2 linked regions of the Diceros bicornis minor genome follow. Each later gene encodes a partner of the first gene's protein in a complex. Links are inferred from orthologs where the notes say so. Each region holds a gene or a part of one and is shown on either strand. Other genes may lie near its edges.

Region 1 (7,726 bases):
GCTACTTCCCCAGACACAACCACTGCGAGAACATTGCTGTGTTTCCTTCCTGTCCCTGTCTTTCAGCTCTTACCACATCTGCGTGTCCATAAACTTAGTATTCTCGGCGTCTCTAGAAATATTAGGTAAATGCTATTCTGTACGTATCTGTCCACAGCCCGCTTTTCTCTCTCAACCGTGTCTGGAGTTTTTAAAGAAAGGTCAGCCATAGAAAAAATATAGTGAATCCTACAACCACCAACATAACGGTTGGCACTTTTTTCCACTTCTTGTGTCATGAGGAAGCCTCTCTGAGCCCCCGTCATCCCCACAGTGACCATTATGACGCACGTGTGTCCTGTGCCCATCGGCTTTGTCCACACTCGCACGCAGCCATCCGTGACTAGCAATTGACAACTTACGTCGACAGCATGCAACGATGGAGCGCCGACCATCCCAGGCTCTGTTCTGGGGCTGGGCGTGTAGCGAGGACAGAGTGACACCGTCCCTCGCTGCCTCGAGGACAAAGCAGGCAGACAACAACACAAGTGAACGAGGGAATTTTAAAGAGCTAGAAATGCATCAAATAATCAAAATAAAACAGCAAATTGGGATGAAGTGACTCTGAACCTTGCTTTGTGCGTCTCCAGATCGTATTATTAGTGCCCAGATCTTAGACGTGTAGCTGGATTATTTTTTACATGTGTATTTGCCTGTGTCATCAGCCACCTAGATCAAGATGTAGGAAATTCCCATCACCCTGGAAGGATGCCTGGCGCCCCTCCCAAACCAGTCCCTTCCCCATCCCCAAGAGGTGATCACAGTTCTGATTCCCATTACTATAGATTGGTTTTGCGTGTTTGAGAATTTCACACAAATGGAATCATACAGTGTCTATTCTGTTGTGTCTGTGACATGCATCTGTGTCATTGCATGTATTAGTCACTTGCTCCTCTTCATTGCTGTATAGTACTCCACTGTAGAGGTGAACCACAGTTCATCTTTGGTTATCCATTCATCTGTTGACGGACTTTTGTGTTGTGTTATGGGCTGAATTGTGTCCCCCTAAAATCCATATGTTGAAGCTCTAACTTCCCAGTACCCCAGAATGTGAGTGTATTTGGAGATGAGGCCTTCAAAGGATTGAGTTAAAATGAGGTCACTAGAGTGGGCCTAGTCCAATATGACTGGTGTCCTAATAAGGACCATGTGAAGACACAGGGAGAAGACGGCCATCAACAAGCCAAGGAGAGAGGCCTCAGAAGGAACCAACCCGGCTGACACCTTGATCTCGGACTTCCACCCTCCAGAACTGGGAGAAAAGAAATGTCTGTTGTTTAAGCCCCCCGGTCTGTGATACTTAATTAGGCAGCCCCAGCCAACTAATTCAAGTTGTTTCAGATTTGGGGCCATTGTGAATAAAGCTGCCATGAACATTCGTGTATGTATTGTAAGGCGTGGCTTCTTGTGGACACGTGTTTCCGTTTCTTACGGAAACTACCAAGAAGTGGAATTCCACGTTGTGTGATCTAGAGAATCTTCCTGAAGCTGCGGCAGAATTTCCAGTGGACGGCACACCGTGCGTGACCTCACTCCTCCTCATGTGCTTTGCAGGGTTGGTTTTGCCCTCGTCCTGGCTGCTGTCCTGTGGAGATTCTGGATGTGGAAAGAATGTAGGAGCCACAAAGAAAGACTAGAAGAGGGACTCGAGAACTTTCTTTCCATTCACCCTTGGATTCAGGCTTCTCCCCTCTGCCCTATGCTCCCTCAGGGCCTCTTTTATTTTTCTTTAGGGAGTACCTGACTTTTTGTAAAACCAATACACACTCCATGTTTAAGAAAAAAAGTATTCCATACAGAAAAATACCGAAAGGAAGTCAAGATGAGGCCAAATCGAAACACCCAGAAGCATCGATGTTTAGTGGTTAACGTCTTTCTGGGCAGCTCTGTGGCTCCACAAAAGCGCACAGTTTCTCTCCTGGGGTGGTGCTTCTACAAATGAGGCAACGTTTAGCTAATCCCTCACTCATGATGATTGCGCTGTTTTCAATTTTCCAATGCTTTAAGCCACACCGCGCAGACACTTTGTTACTGACAAGTTAGTGCGCTTGGATGTGTATTTCCTTCGGCCAGTCCTAGGCGAGGGAATGCAAGTTAGTATATATGCAAAATATATTAAAATACATTTATATGTTACAGCTCACATACATTACACAAACACATACTATATATTAATATCTACAGAATTTTCGATTTATGTGTATATTTACATTTAAGCCAAAATAACATAGACACATGGTAAAGAATTTTAAATACAGCAGGAAAGTCCAAAAATGAGCTTTCCTCTTCTGACGCCTTCCTCTCAAAGCATACTTCAGCACCAGTTTGATATTTCTTTTCAGAAAATAGCTTGCATATATCTACGTATCTAGGTGCTATTAAAGACTTACTTTTTTTTGTTGTTGTTGAGGAAGATTGGCCCTGAACTAACATCTGTTGCCAATCTTCCTCTTTTTGCTGAGGAAGATTGTCCCTGAGCTAACATCCGTACCCATCTTCCTCTATTTTGTATGTGGGTCGCCGCAGCAACATGGCTCGATGAGTGGTGTGTAGGTCTGCAGCCAGGATCCCAACCTGCAAACCCCAGGTGCCAAAGCAGAGCGTGTGAACTTAACCCCTATGCCAGTGGGCCAGCCCCCACGAATTGGTTTCTATAACATATGCGATTTTGCATCTTGCTTCTTCTTAGAGATTTTTTTGGGGGGCTTAAGCAACAGACATTTATTTCTCACAGTTCTGGAGTTGGAGATTTTTTTTTTTAAGATTTTATTTATTTTTATTTTTTCCCCCCAAAGCCCCAGCAGATAGTTGTATGTCATAGTCACACATCCTTCCAGCTGCTGCATGTGGGACGCGGCCTCAGCATGGCCGGAGAAGCGGCGCGTCGGTGCGCGCCCGGGATCCGAACCTGGGCCGCCAGCAGCGGAGCGCGCGCACCCAACCGCTAAGCCATGGGGCCGGCCCTGGAGATTTTTTTAACACGAGCACAAATCGATCTATTTCTTTAAAGACTGCATGGCATTTCATAGATTACATCACAGCATACCTTAATCTGTTTAACCAGCCTGATGGATGGGCAGATAGGCATTTCCAATTTTTGCTATCACGAACAATACTGCACGAATATCTTATTCTCACGCATTTGACCACATTTACGAGTTTTTCTCATCATCTTAGCTGGCTCAAAGGAAAATACATACATGTATTTTAAGTCTTAGGAGATGTCAATTTTCCGTCCAAAGAGCTGGCATAGTTTCATGCACTAACAAAGTGTGCGTCTGTTTCTCTACATTTTTGCTGCTGTTGGGTGATATCCAATTTTTAAAGTTTTTCCCATCTGCTACGTTGTTTGAATTTTGCGTTTCTTGGAGTAAATTTGAGTAAGTTTGCACAAAAGTTTACTGGCCCTTTTTACACACTATATTTTCATCTTTATTGCTAGATCACCCTCTTTCTTCCACTCACTTCCCCATCCTGCTTCCTGGTATAGAGGATAAAGAGCCTAAACTCTTTAGTCTGGCTTAAAAATCCTTTATGATCTGGTTCCCACCCTACCCCAAATGCCCATTAATTGAGCACTTACTGTATACAGACACTCTGTGGGTGCTGGGGACCCAGGAATCAACAAGGCAGGCAAACGTCTGCTTTCTGCAGCTGACATTCTAGAGCAGTGTTTCTCAACCTTTTTTCCCCCCCCCTTATCGCCCCTCTAAGAAGAAAACTGGAATTATCTTTAAATTTAATTTAAATCAATTAATTTCAATTTAATTACATTTAATTTCTCCCTAACGAGAAAAATTAAATACTTAGGTATAAGATTTTATCCGATAGGGCTGGCTTTGGAGGGCCACAAGCTATTGTAATGTCTAAGGTTCTTTTTTGCCCCTCAAGAATTAATTGTGGCGCCCTTGGGAGCCATATTGCTCCCATTGAGAACGCAAGCTTTAGAGGGGTAGCTGCTGGACAGTAAACAAATAAATGGAAAAGATTAAATCAGGGGCCCGAGACTGTTATAAAGAAAAGCAGGAAGAATGTTGGAGGGGGCCGTTTGACATCTTGATCGTCTGAATCAAGAACGCTCTTCCCAGACAAGGAAGACCAGCCTTGGTTTCTTCAGCTGCCAAATGGAAATGATAATTTCCTCCTCACGGTGCCTGGCATACGGCAAGCCCTCAATAAATGAACTTTACTGTAATTATTAATTAAAAAAATATTTTTAAATGTAAACGGAACAAGCGCTGAGATGCGCCTCTGCTCTGCTACCGGCTTGGGTCCGGCGCCCAGCGGCGCGCACAGCCGGCGCCTCCACCTCCGTCCGGAGGGGGCGCTGTGGGCGCCGCGGCCGGGCTGCTCTAGGCGGCGGCACCGGAAGTCTCGTTCTCCCCTCACTTCCGGTCTCTGGCCCGGGCTTGGGCTGCGTGGAGCAGGGTTTGCAATGCCGACCGGAGACTTTGAGTGAGTCGGGGGTGGTGGCGGGGGTCCCGGGAGGCGGTTTGGGGGTTCCGGGGAGTCTTGTGGAGCCTGGGTGCCCCGAGGCCGCGGGAGCCGGGCTTCGCTGACCCGCCTTCCCCCCGCGAACTTGTCCCCGCAGTTCGAAGCCCAGCTGGGCCGACCAGGTGGAGGAGGAGGGAGAGGACGGTGAGTACGGCCGGTCGCCCCGGCTCACCGCAGCCAGCGCCCCGCCCGGTCACTGCCACCTGCTCCGGCCCCCGGCCCTGGCACCGCCAGCCCCTGCCCCGCGCCATCCTCCTGGACGGCCTGTCGCCAATTCCAGAGGCTCACTGGCCGGCCCCTCCTCCTCCCGTGCCACCCCAAGCCCTCACAGCTGCCCGTCTGCTCGGGGGAAGAAGCTGTCACAACCTGCCGCCTGCCTTCGTACCAGCGCCCGGATGCCTTTATGGGCTGCCCCCGCCTTCCTGCCGCCCCCATCCTTACCATTGCTGGAGGTCACTACAGCCAGCTCCCTGTCCCCGCACGGCTGTCCCCGGGCACTTCTTGGCTCTTGGGCCCCCCCTTCCTCAGCTCCCAGTGTGAGCATCATCCCCAAAGTCCATCCGTTTCAGCTTGGCACACCCCGCCCCCCTGCTGACCTCCCCCCCACTGCCTCTCACAGACAAATGTGTCACCAGCGAGCTCCTCAAGGGGATCCCTCTGGCCACCGGCGACACCAGCCCGGAGCCTGAGCTACTGCCAGGAGGTGAGTGACGGGCGACCTCCACTCCATCCTGGGCTGCCTGTCTCCCCAGCCGCATTCCCGCCTGGTCCCCATCACCCAGGACTCAGTTCCCCGCCCCTCTTCCCCTCTCCCAGCTCCACTGCCGCCTCCCAAGGAGGTCATCAACGGAAACATCAAGACAGTGACCGAGTACAAGATCGATGAGGACGGCAAGAAGTTCAAGGTGAGGCTGGGGGTTCAAGGTTGTGCTTGGGGGCGCTTGGGCCACGAGCGGGTGGTGTGTGGAGCAAGATTGCCTGCCCCAGGAGCCTTGAGACGCAGGAAGCCGACCCTCTCCCTCCCATCCACAGATCGTCCGCACCTTCAGAATTGAGACCCGGAAGGCCTCAAAGGCTGTGGCAAGGAGGAAGGTGAGACTCTGCTCCCCTTGTCCTGGGGGCTACCCCAGGACTGACTCAGGAATTAGGACTCCTTTTCCTAGTGCCTTTATTTCTAAAGATTTTATTTATTTATTTTTCTCCCAAAGCCCCAGTAGATAGTTGTCTGTCATAGCTGCACATCCTTCTAGTTGCTGTATGTGGGACGCGGCCTCAGCATGGCCGGAGAAGCGGTGCGTCGGTGCGTGCCCGGGATCCGAACCTGGGCCGCCAGCAGCGGAGCGTGCGCACTTAACCGCTAAGCCACGGGGCCGGCCCGCTAGTGCCTTTATTTCTAGAAATGAGGTTTAATTGTTTGTACCTATTTTGTTGGAGCAGAACTGAGGCCTAGGGGTGTTTCATTCTCTGGGTGCCCCGAACAGTCCAGGGCGCAGGAGTGGGCAGGGTTGATTCTGCCTCCTCTTGGCTTGTCTGCCAGGAGGAACAGAGCCAAGCCCTCCCCTAAGGTGGTCAGACCAGAAGCCATAGCAGTAAAAACCTCTGGCACGATTGTTTGCATACTTTCTCCGTGCCAGACCCAGATGCTTTGCATTCACTGTTTTCTCATTCAGTCCTCATGGCAACCCAGGGAGGTGTGGCGCATTGTGGTCCCCTTTTTGTAGGGAAGGAAGCTGAGGTTCAGGCCCCTTGAAGTCTGGGGGACCCCTGTACACCCCTGAGCATCGCTCCCTAGTGGGAGCTGGCCCACCACCTGCTCGGCCCCCCAGGAATTGTTGTCTGTGAAGCTGTTTCCCCCTGCGCCTCGGTTCTCTCTGGAGCTTGGGGCTGAGGGCTGCCTTGCACTGCCCCGCTAGGGCCTCACATGCACTCAGGAAATGGGAATTGTCATCGTCACCCTTGTGGGAGGGATATGGGGCCCAGACATCCCAAAAGGGGCTATAGCAGGTCTGAGGAGCCAGTGGGTGGGGGCCCCCACCTGCCCTGGCCCTGACCTGTCCCCTCTCCTGCCCTGAGCCCAGAACTGGAAGAAGTTCGGAAACTCCGAGTTTGACCCCCCGGGGCCCAATGTGGCCACCACCACGGTGAGCGACGATGTGTCCATGACGTTCATCACCAGCAAAGAGGTGAGTGGGGCAACGGCGGGGCCGGCGGCCTGGGAGGTGGTGGCGGCAGGGTGCGGCAGCCCCCTCTGAGCTGCGCCCCCCACCCCGCAGGACCTGAACTGCCAGGAGGAGGAGGACCCGATGAACAAGCTCAAGGGCCAGAAGATTGTGTCCTGCCGCATCTGCAAGGGCGACCACTGGACCACCCGCTGCCCCTACAAGGACACGCTGGGGCCCATGCAGAAGGAGCTGGCCGAGCAGCTGGGCCTGTCCACGGGCGAGAAGGAGAAGCTGCCCGGAGGTGCGGGCTGGCGCACCGCGTGTGTCGGGGGTGTACGTGGGTGTGTGCATGCACACCTGTGAGCAGACACACACGGGTCTGCCTGGAGTCTCCTTGAGCGGGGTTTGCCGATGGCGAGCTCGAGTCTGGACGGCTGTGCACCCACAACTCGTGTGTGTGGGACTCAGGGACTGTCTGTGTCCTGTGTGCCTCTGTTCCTGTGTGTCGTGAGGCTGGGCATTACTCTAGTTGTCAACCCCTGTGGGTTCTCACTCTGTGCTGCTGGCTTCCTGGATGCGACCTTTATGTCATCGTGGCCACCGGGCTCGGACGAACCGGATGCCTGTGGCTTGACAGACAGCGCGGGGCTGGGTCGGGGCTGGAGCCGCTGGCACCCTGGGGCAGGTCTGTCCCGCCGTCTGCGCCAGGGTGAGGCCTGAGCCGCCTGTGCTCTTTGTCTGCAGAGCTGGAGCCCGTGCAGGCCACCCAGAACAAGACAGGGAAGTACGTGCCACCGAGCCTGCGGGACGGGGCCAGCCGCCGCGGGGAGTCCATGCAGCCCAACCGCAGAGGTGAGGCGGTGAGGGCACCTCCCAGCACCCTGTGATTAGCCCGTGGGTGGGGCCCGCCCCTCACAGCCGCCTCTCCCTGCCATCTAGCCGATGACAACGCTACCATCCGTGTCACCAATCTGTCGGAGGACACGCGGGAAACCGACCTGCAGGAGCTCTTCCGGCCCTTCGGCTCCATC
Region 2 (7,814 bases), on another chromosome or scaffold:
ATAATATTTCTTGTATCACTTGTCTGAGTTAAAGGAGACTTAAATGAAAAAGAAAAAAAAAAAAAGCCCACAGAACACTTTTTTCTTTAACAAAAATAAAACTAAGATTTTTTAAATTCATTTAAAAATCAGTTTGGTCTCAGATATCATTTTAAATGAATATAAAGCATAGGAATATAGAATATTCACCTTTTCCCATGAAGTTGGTCCCTATAGCTCACTTGGGAGTGGTTCTCCTATCCAGTAGCTATTAGGAATGGAAACCAATGTCCTGTGTTTAGAAAATCAGGAGAAAAGTTAAAAAAAAGGGATTTCAAGCTGGGACACATAAGCATTCCTATCCCCATTCAAGATGTATCCTTTAATTTTGTTCTTTCTGGTATCCAAGTGCCTGAACAGTATCTGACACATAATAAAGATGAATATATATGTAAGAATAAACGAAAGTTTAAAGTTTCAAATAATTTTGCCCATATCCTTTCACTATCTCCTTTTCAAGAACTTCCCTTGAAAGGATGTTTTTTTACTTCACAAAGACCACAGAATGAAGAAAAATAGCAAAAAGTATAAGACTTGGGAATGTTTGATGAAAGAGTACGTGTATCTTTTAGTTTGTATTCCTAGAACTCTGGGAGGAGCTCAGAGATTACTCCTTTAGAACCAGCAGACATCCACAGACACCTACTGAGTGCCTGCAGGGGTGCTGCACACTGAGGTGGGTGGAGGGAACACAGTGAGACCTGACACACAAGTTCCCTGCCTGCAGGCTCAGTCTCTACATCATCAAGGGTATCCATGCAGGAATGAATCCTTTCAAGTTTAGTCTATTCAGATGTTTTCTATCCTGCCCACTTTTTTTTTTTCTTTGCCTCCCATTTGTTTATCTTGAGGCATAATCATGATATCAATAAACTGCACATTTTCAAGTGCACAACTTGCTAAATCTTATATATGTACACTACCATGACACAATCACAACCAAGATAATGAACATATCCATAACCCCCAAAGCTTCCTCATGCCCCTTTGTAACTCATCTCTCCCTCCTCCTTGCCTAGTCCCTCTCACACAGGCAACAACAATCTACAGTGCTGCCACTTTAGTTTGTATTTTCTAGAGTTCCATATAAATGGAATCATACAGTATGTTTGGCTTCTTTCACGCAGCAAAATTATTTTGACGTTCATCCATACTGTTGCATGTATCAGTAGTTCATCTTTTTTTATTGCAGAGTAGTATTCCATTACATAGATATGTAACAATTTGTTTATCCATTCACCTGTTGAGGAACATTTGGGTTGTTTCCTGTTTTTGGCTATTAAAAATAAAGCTGCTGTCTTTTTGGAAAATAGCTCCTCAAAAAGCTAAACATAAAGTTACCACATAACCTAGCAATTCCACCCCTAATTATATACCCAAGAGAATTATAAATATACATCCATACAAAATCTTGTGTGTGAATGTTCATAGAAGCATTAGTCATAATAGCCAAAAAATGGAAACAAGCCAAACGTGCATCCACTGATGAATGGGCAAACAAAAGGTGGTATATTCATAACAATGGAATATTATTAAGCAATAAAAATGAAGGACTGATACATGCCACAACCTTGAAAATATTATGCTAAATATAGAAGCCAGGCACCGAAGGCCACGTATTGTATGATTGCATTTATATGAACTGTCCAAAATAGACAAATTCATAGACAGAAAGTAGTGGTTGCTAAGGATTGAGGGAGTGAGGAATGGAGAGTGCTTGCTAATGAGTACAGTTTCTTTTAGGGTGATGAAAATATTCTAAAATTACATAGGGGTGATGGTTGCACAATTCTGTAACTATACTAAAAACTACTGAATTGTATAATTTAAAAGTGTGAATTTTATGATATTGGAATTATATTTCAATAAAGCTGTTATTTTTTCACCTTTATTGAGGTATAACTGACCAACAAAATTGTAAGTTATTTAAAGCGTACAATGTGATGATTTGACATACGTATACATTGTGAAAGGATTCTCCCAACGTTAATTAACACACCCATCACCTATTTACTTTTTTTTTTCTTTTTGGTGAGAACATTTAAGTACTACTCTCTTAGCAAATTTCAAAAGTTGCAATGAACATTCATGTACAAGTCTTTGTATGGACACACCCTCTCATTTCTCTTGGGTAAAGATTTAGGGGTAGAATATCTGGGTCATAGGGTAGGTGGATGTTCGACTTTTTAAGAAACTGCCCCTCTTTTGCAAAGTGGTTGTGCCATTTCACATTTGTAGCAGCAGTATACGAGCATTCTGGATCCCACACATGCCTGCCAACACTTGGTATGGTCAGTCCTTTAATTTTAGATATTCTAGTAAGTACATAGTGGTATCTCATTGTAGTTTTAATTCTCATCTCCCTAATGACTAATACTGTTGGTATTTTTACTTGTGCTTATCAGATATCTGTATGTATTGTTTGATGCCACCTGTTCAAATTTTTTGCCCACTTTTTAATTGGATTGGTTGTTATTGAGTTTTATACATTCATACACTCTCGATACAAGTCATTATCAGACGTGTTGTTTGCCAATATTTCCTCCCAGTCTGTGGCTTGTCTTTTCATTCTCGTAGCAGTGTCTTTCAGAGAGCCGAAGTTCTTAATTTTGATGTAGTCCAGTTTACCACTTTTTTTCATTCAGGGATCATGCCTTCAGAGATGTATCTAAAAATATCTTTGCCTAACCTAAGGTCACAAAAACTTTCTTCCATGTTTTCTCCTAGAAGTTTAATAGTTTTATATTTTACATTTAGGTCTAAGATCCATTTTAAGTGCATTTTTCCATTTAGTATAAGGTATGGATTCAATTTCATTTTTCTCAAATATGGATATAGAATTGTTCCAGCACCATTTGTTGAGAAGACTAAATTGCCTTTGCATCTTAGTCAAAAATCAATTGACATGTGCGAGTCTACTTCTGAGCTCTCCATTCTCTTCCTTTGATTGATTTGTCTATCTTGATGTCAATCCCACACTGTCTTGATTACCATTACCATTTTGCACGCCGATCCTCCTCCTTTTGCTGAGGAAGATTGGCCCTGGGCTAACATCCGTGCCCATCTTCCTCCACTTTATGTGGGACACCACCACAGCATGGCTTGACAAGCAGTGCATCGGTCTGTGCCGGGATCCGAACCTGCAAACCCAAAGCGGAGCATGTGAACTTAACCACTACGCCACTGGGCTGGCCCCCTACCAGCAATTTATTAGAGTTCCAGTTGCTCTACATCCTTATTATTGTATTGTCAGGTTTTTAAAAATTAGCTTTCATAGTAACTGTGTAGCAGTATCTCACTATGTTTGTAATTTGCATTAAAATTGGGTTGTTCTTTTTCCTACTATTGAATTTCCCATCATTTTTTTTTAAAACTTACTTTGCCCTAATTTCCTAAACAATAATCATCTCAGGGTGTATCAAGGCCTGCTTGTCTGTTTTCTCCCGCCTTTAAATAAGAGGCAAGCTTGCAACTGCTGCAGGTGATAGTCTGCCCCAGAAAATTGGAAGACGTTGGCTGGAATTCAGGCCAAACCTTTGGAGTCACCTTGAGTTCCTTTTTCCCTCATACCCCGTATATGATCTGTCAGTAAATCTTATCAGTTTACCAACCAGCTTCTCACCACCCCTCACTGTCTTCTCTTGCTCGGCCTCTGCAATCGCTTTCTAAAGAGTCTCCCTGCTTTGGCCCTTGCCCAACTCACACCAATTTGCAACACAGCTGCCAGAGTGACCCTGCACAGAAACAGTTCCATGTCCTCCTCCTTCCGCTCCAGACCTGTCACGGGCTCGCCAACTCACCAGCCAAAGCCCCAACTCCGACCACGGCTCTCTCCCCTCCGTCCTGCCCTCCCCTCGGCCGAGTCCGCCCCGGCCCCTCCTCCTCACGCCCCTTCCTCGCCTCTCCCGCACGAAGCTCTCCTGCAGGCCTCTTCGCTAGCACCGCCCGCGCCCGCTCCGCTCCCCGCATCACCGGAGCCGTCTCTGCCCGCTCCAGGACCGGGCGTGCGCGCTCACACACACCCCTCCCGGGGTGCAGTCGGCGCTCGCCGCGTCCCGCCCGCTACACGTTAACCTCCGCGGGCCTCACCCTCGGGGAGGAACCGAGCCCGCCCCGCCGCGGACACCGTCGTCCGCGCTGCCCTCCGCGCCCCCGGGGACGCCGCGCTCCGCACCCCGGACGAGGCCGCGGATTCTCCTGAAAACCACGGTCCCCGCGCGGGACACTGCCTGCGGCGGGGACGGGGAGGCGGCCCGGCGGGAGCCACGCCCGAGGCGCTCGAGGGCGGCCTGAGCCCGCAGGTAGAGGGGCGTGGCCAGAGAGAACACCTGTTCCGAGCACCAGCGAGTCTCGTTGACCAAACGGGCCTAAAACGTCACGGGGGAGCGAGCCGCGGGCGGGCGGTAACGCTGACGACAGTCAGCCGCGCCGTTGCAGCGGTCAGAGGTCGCGGGCGGCGGCGCGGGAGGGCGAGAGAGGGGGCCAGAGCGCGCCCTGGGATTGGCCCCGTGCCCCAGCCCCGCCCCCAGTCGCGGCCAGAGCGCGCTGCGATTGGCCCGGGTGGCCCGCCGTCCCAGTGACCCCGCCCCTCAGGAGCTGCGCGGCGTGACCCGGAAGCGGTTGTGAGGCACCGCCCAGCTCCCTTTTCCGGTCGGCGTGGTGTGCTAGTGGACCGTCGTCGGGCCGGCCTTCGCCATGAGCGTCCCGGCCTTCATCGACATCAGTGAGGAGGACCAGGTGTGCGCCCGGCCGCGGGGCCCCGGGCGGGCTGGGCCTGGGGGGAGGGCGGCTCCAGGGCAGGGCGCGCGCTCGGGCCGCAGTTGTGTCCGCCCGGCGGCCCAGCGCTGATCCGAGGCCCGCGGCCGGTCCGGTCGGCGCCGGGCCCTTCCTGCCCGGGTCCCCGGCGGCTCGGGGGCGCGGGGTCTGCTCCCGGCCCTGCGGCCGCGGGCGGGCGGCGGAGAGGGTCGGAGGGCCGGTTTTGCCGGTCGCGGGCGCCGGCGGCTGGAGGCGGCCGGCCCGGCTCGCGGTTAAGGGCTCCGTCTGGGGCGGGGCGGGGCGGGGCGGCGCCCTGCGCGTCGCCCACGGGGGTCCGGCTGCGGCGGCCGAGACTGGGCGCGAGGTGCGCGCTCCGGTGATGTCGGGAGCAGGACGCTGTCACGTGGCTCCCGGCGCCGCGCCCTTGCTGCCCCTGCTGCCCCGCCGACGTGGGGTCTCGGGGGGCTTCCGAGAGGACCGCTGTTCGGGCCGCGGGTGTGGTTCGCTCCGTGGCGGGGCGGGGAAAAGGGGAGAGGGGAAGGAGGCGCGGCGGGCGTCGGGCGCGGGCGCGCGGGTGTGGACGCGCGAGCTCCTGCCCGGCTGCGGTGTCGGCGTGTCGTTCCGGGTGGCTGTGCTGCCGCCTGCCACTCGCCGTCCCTTTCGGGACGCAGGCGGTAGTCGCGCGGCTGAGCTTGGGCCGGGTGCTCTGTGACGAGGGTTACGGAATGGGGTGGAGGCTCCCTGTTTCTTTTCCTTCGCTTGTGCCCCGCCGCCGCCGCTGTGGCCGGAGAGGATGACAGCCAGGAACAGTAAACTTGACTGAGTAGTCTTAGAAGTTTGCTTTGTGTCCGCAGAGCAGAGACTGAAGAAATGTCTTGATTTTGGACCATGGTATGTTTCCTTCATAAAGAAGCGTGCTTTCCGTTGGTGTTTTTGTGGCCTCTGATATATCTTGTTTGTAATACTAGCTCATACGTGAAGTTAGTGTTGTTATCTGAAAAGGTAGCACCGTCTTATCTGCAGACTTCATATACTTTTCTTAGGTGGCCAAACATTTGTGGGTTTAGGAAATGTGATTCCTATGCATTTTCTAATGGTATCCTTAGCTCTCCCTGTTTCACTTCTTCATTTTATCATCTTAAATACCATTTGCATTCATGTTTGGCTGCCATACCTAGCTCTAAAGAGAACAAGGTATTAAACATTGTATGTGCATTACAGTAGAAACTGCCTAAATACCTGGACGCGGTGCTGTAGTTGTTTTTATAGGTCCAAAGATGCTTTCTGGTCCAGACATGCATTTTGCATTTTAAAAGATTAATTACATGGTAGGTCCAATTTGATATAAATATTTTCTTCAAGGCAACATTCAAAGGCATCATCTGTTTTATCTTTGTGTCATCCAGAATGCTTGTCTCAGGTAGGTTCTCTAACATGTAATTGACAAATGAACACCCTCTTGCCAAGGGAACGCCTCCAACTTTTTTAAGTAGCTGTGTTATGTACACTCGAGAGCAGTAACCCAGATCGAATTTACCAAGTCAGATCAACTCTGCTCCCCACCCCACCCCCAAAGGCTTTGGGTTATATTAGAAAGGTTTTTGCTGTGTACCGGAAGCCCAGCAGGGTATAGGTGATCCGTGTGGGTCATAGTGGGTCTTTGTAGCTTCTGGGTCTTGTAGAGGAAAACCTGTGGGGCTGTGATGATGCATGTGGTGGGGGAGAGGCACTTCCGCGTAGTTTCAAGTCATTGTTAAACACGGTATTTACATCTGTTTCTTCAGAAGTAGAGCAGAACGACTTGATCGTGTGTTTTGCCGTTGGTGGTTTTGTAGATACATAGTAACCTTATTTGAGTCAACAGGCTGCGGAGCTTCGAGCCTATCTGAAATCTAAAGGAGCTGAAGTTTCGGAAGAGAACTCTGAAGGTGGACTTCATGTAGATTTAGCTCAGATTATCGAAGCCTGTGATGTGTGTCTGAAGGAAGATGATAAAGGTTTGTTTTTAATTTTTTGTAATATTTCTTACTGATCATAAAGGACCTACTTTTTAAACTTTCTTGTGAATTATATTTGTTTTATACCTTAGAACTTATAAGCACTGTTGTTTTTAATCTTATTTTTGCACATACTTTCAGTTTATTCTAATCTGTTATACCTGTGAAGTAAGCCTATTTTGAGAAAACATCTTTTTTACATCAGGTATGTTTGTGTGTTGTTGCACACACTAAATACTGTTAATTTCAGAATGAACTAAAGGGAAAAAATGAAGCTTTTCTTTCCTTTTTAGAAGGTTTAGATTAGTATCAAATGGGATATAATCTAAAAGCTGTTTATTTGGCTGATTCTCTATTTATTGAGATAAAATGAAACGTTTTGAAAATTTGGAGTGCTGAAATCTCTAGTTAAGATTTGAGACTAAATTCGGCATATGATTAATATTTTAGACTCGAAAGTTAGTGACCCAACCAGAAAGTTGATAGCTTTTATATCTAAATAATTTTCTATTTGTACAAAGTTTTTTTCAGTTGGGAAAGCATCCTAGCCTAAGACCTAACCAATAACTTCCAAATGATTGAATATCTTGCTAGTAAAAATTGAAACTGTATATATAGACATGTAAATCATCCTTCAACTAGTTTTACTAGTTGAAAACCAAGTCTCAGGTAATAATTTCCTTCTTCTTTAATAAAGTGTACAAATTGCTTTCTGAACGTTAACTGTACAACAGACCTGGTTTAGTTTGAATTCATGTATGCTATATTTTTACTATAATGCACACCATTGAAGAAAAAGTGTCCTCTAGAACTGGTTCACAGTAGCCAAATTATATCTTTTTGAAGTGTTCATGTTTACTGGTCTTTGGTGTATTAAAACTGGAAATACATATTTAATTAGATACATTAAGTGTGATAGTATCACTGTTGTGTTATCCGTTCACGTGTAGATGTTGAAAGTGTGATGAACAGCGTGGTATCCCTCCTGTTGATCCTGGAACCAGATAAGCAAGAAGCTCTGAT

Evidence for each region.
Region 2: EIF3G (region 1) and EIF3M share a complex: the UniProt entries of both Homo sapiens proteins name them as parts of the eukaryotic translation initiation factor 3 (eIF-3) complex. The link is inferred for Diceros bicornis minor from reciprocal best matches to the Homo sapiens genes EIF3G and EIF3M.

The regions. Positions count from the first base shown.
Region 1 is NC_080769.1:9,003,886-9,011,611, forward strand, and holds the start of EIF3G (eukaryotic translation initiation factor 3 subunit G), read left to right. Parts: upstream 1-4,420; 5' UTR 4,421-4,474; coding exon 4,475-4,494; intron 4,495-4,630; coding exon 4,631-4,677; intron 4,678-5,152; coding exon 5,153-5,236; intron 5,237-5,349; coding exon 5,350-5,438; intron 5,439-5,565; coding exon 5,566-5,625; intron 5,626-6,611; coding exon 6,612-6,716; intron 6,717-6,806; coding exon 6,807-6,996; intron 6,997-7,439; coding exon 7,440-7,547; intron 7,548-7,634; coding exon 7,635-7,726. UniProt on the Homo sapiens protein: RNA-binding component of the eukaryotic translation initiation factor 3 (eIF-3) complex, which is required for several steps in the initiation of protein synthesis.
Region 2 is NC_080746.1:87,831,441-87,839,254, forward strand, and holds the start of EIF3M (eukaryotic translation initiation factor 3 subunit M), read left to right. Parts: upstream 1-4,674; 5' UTR 4,675-4,734; coding exon 4,735-4,776; intron 4,777-6,658; coding exon 6,659-6,791; intron 6,792-7,741; coding exon 7,742-7,814. UniProt on the Homo sapiens protein: Component of the eukaryotic translation initiation factor 3 (eIF-3) complex, which is required for several steps in the initiation of protein synthesis.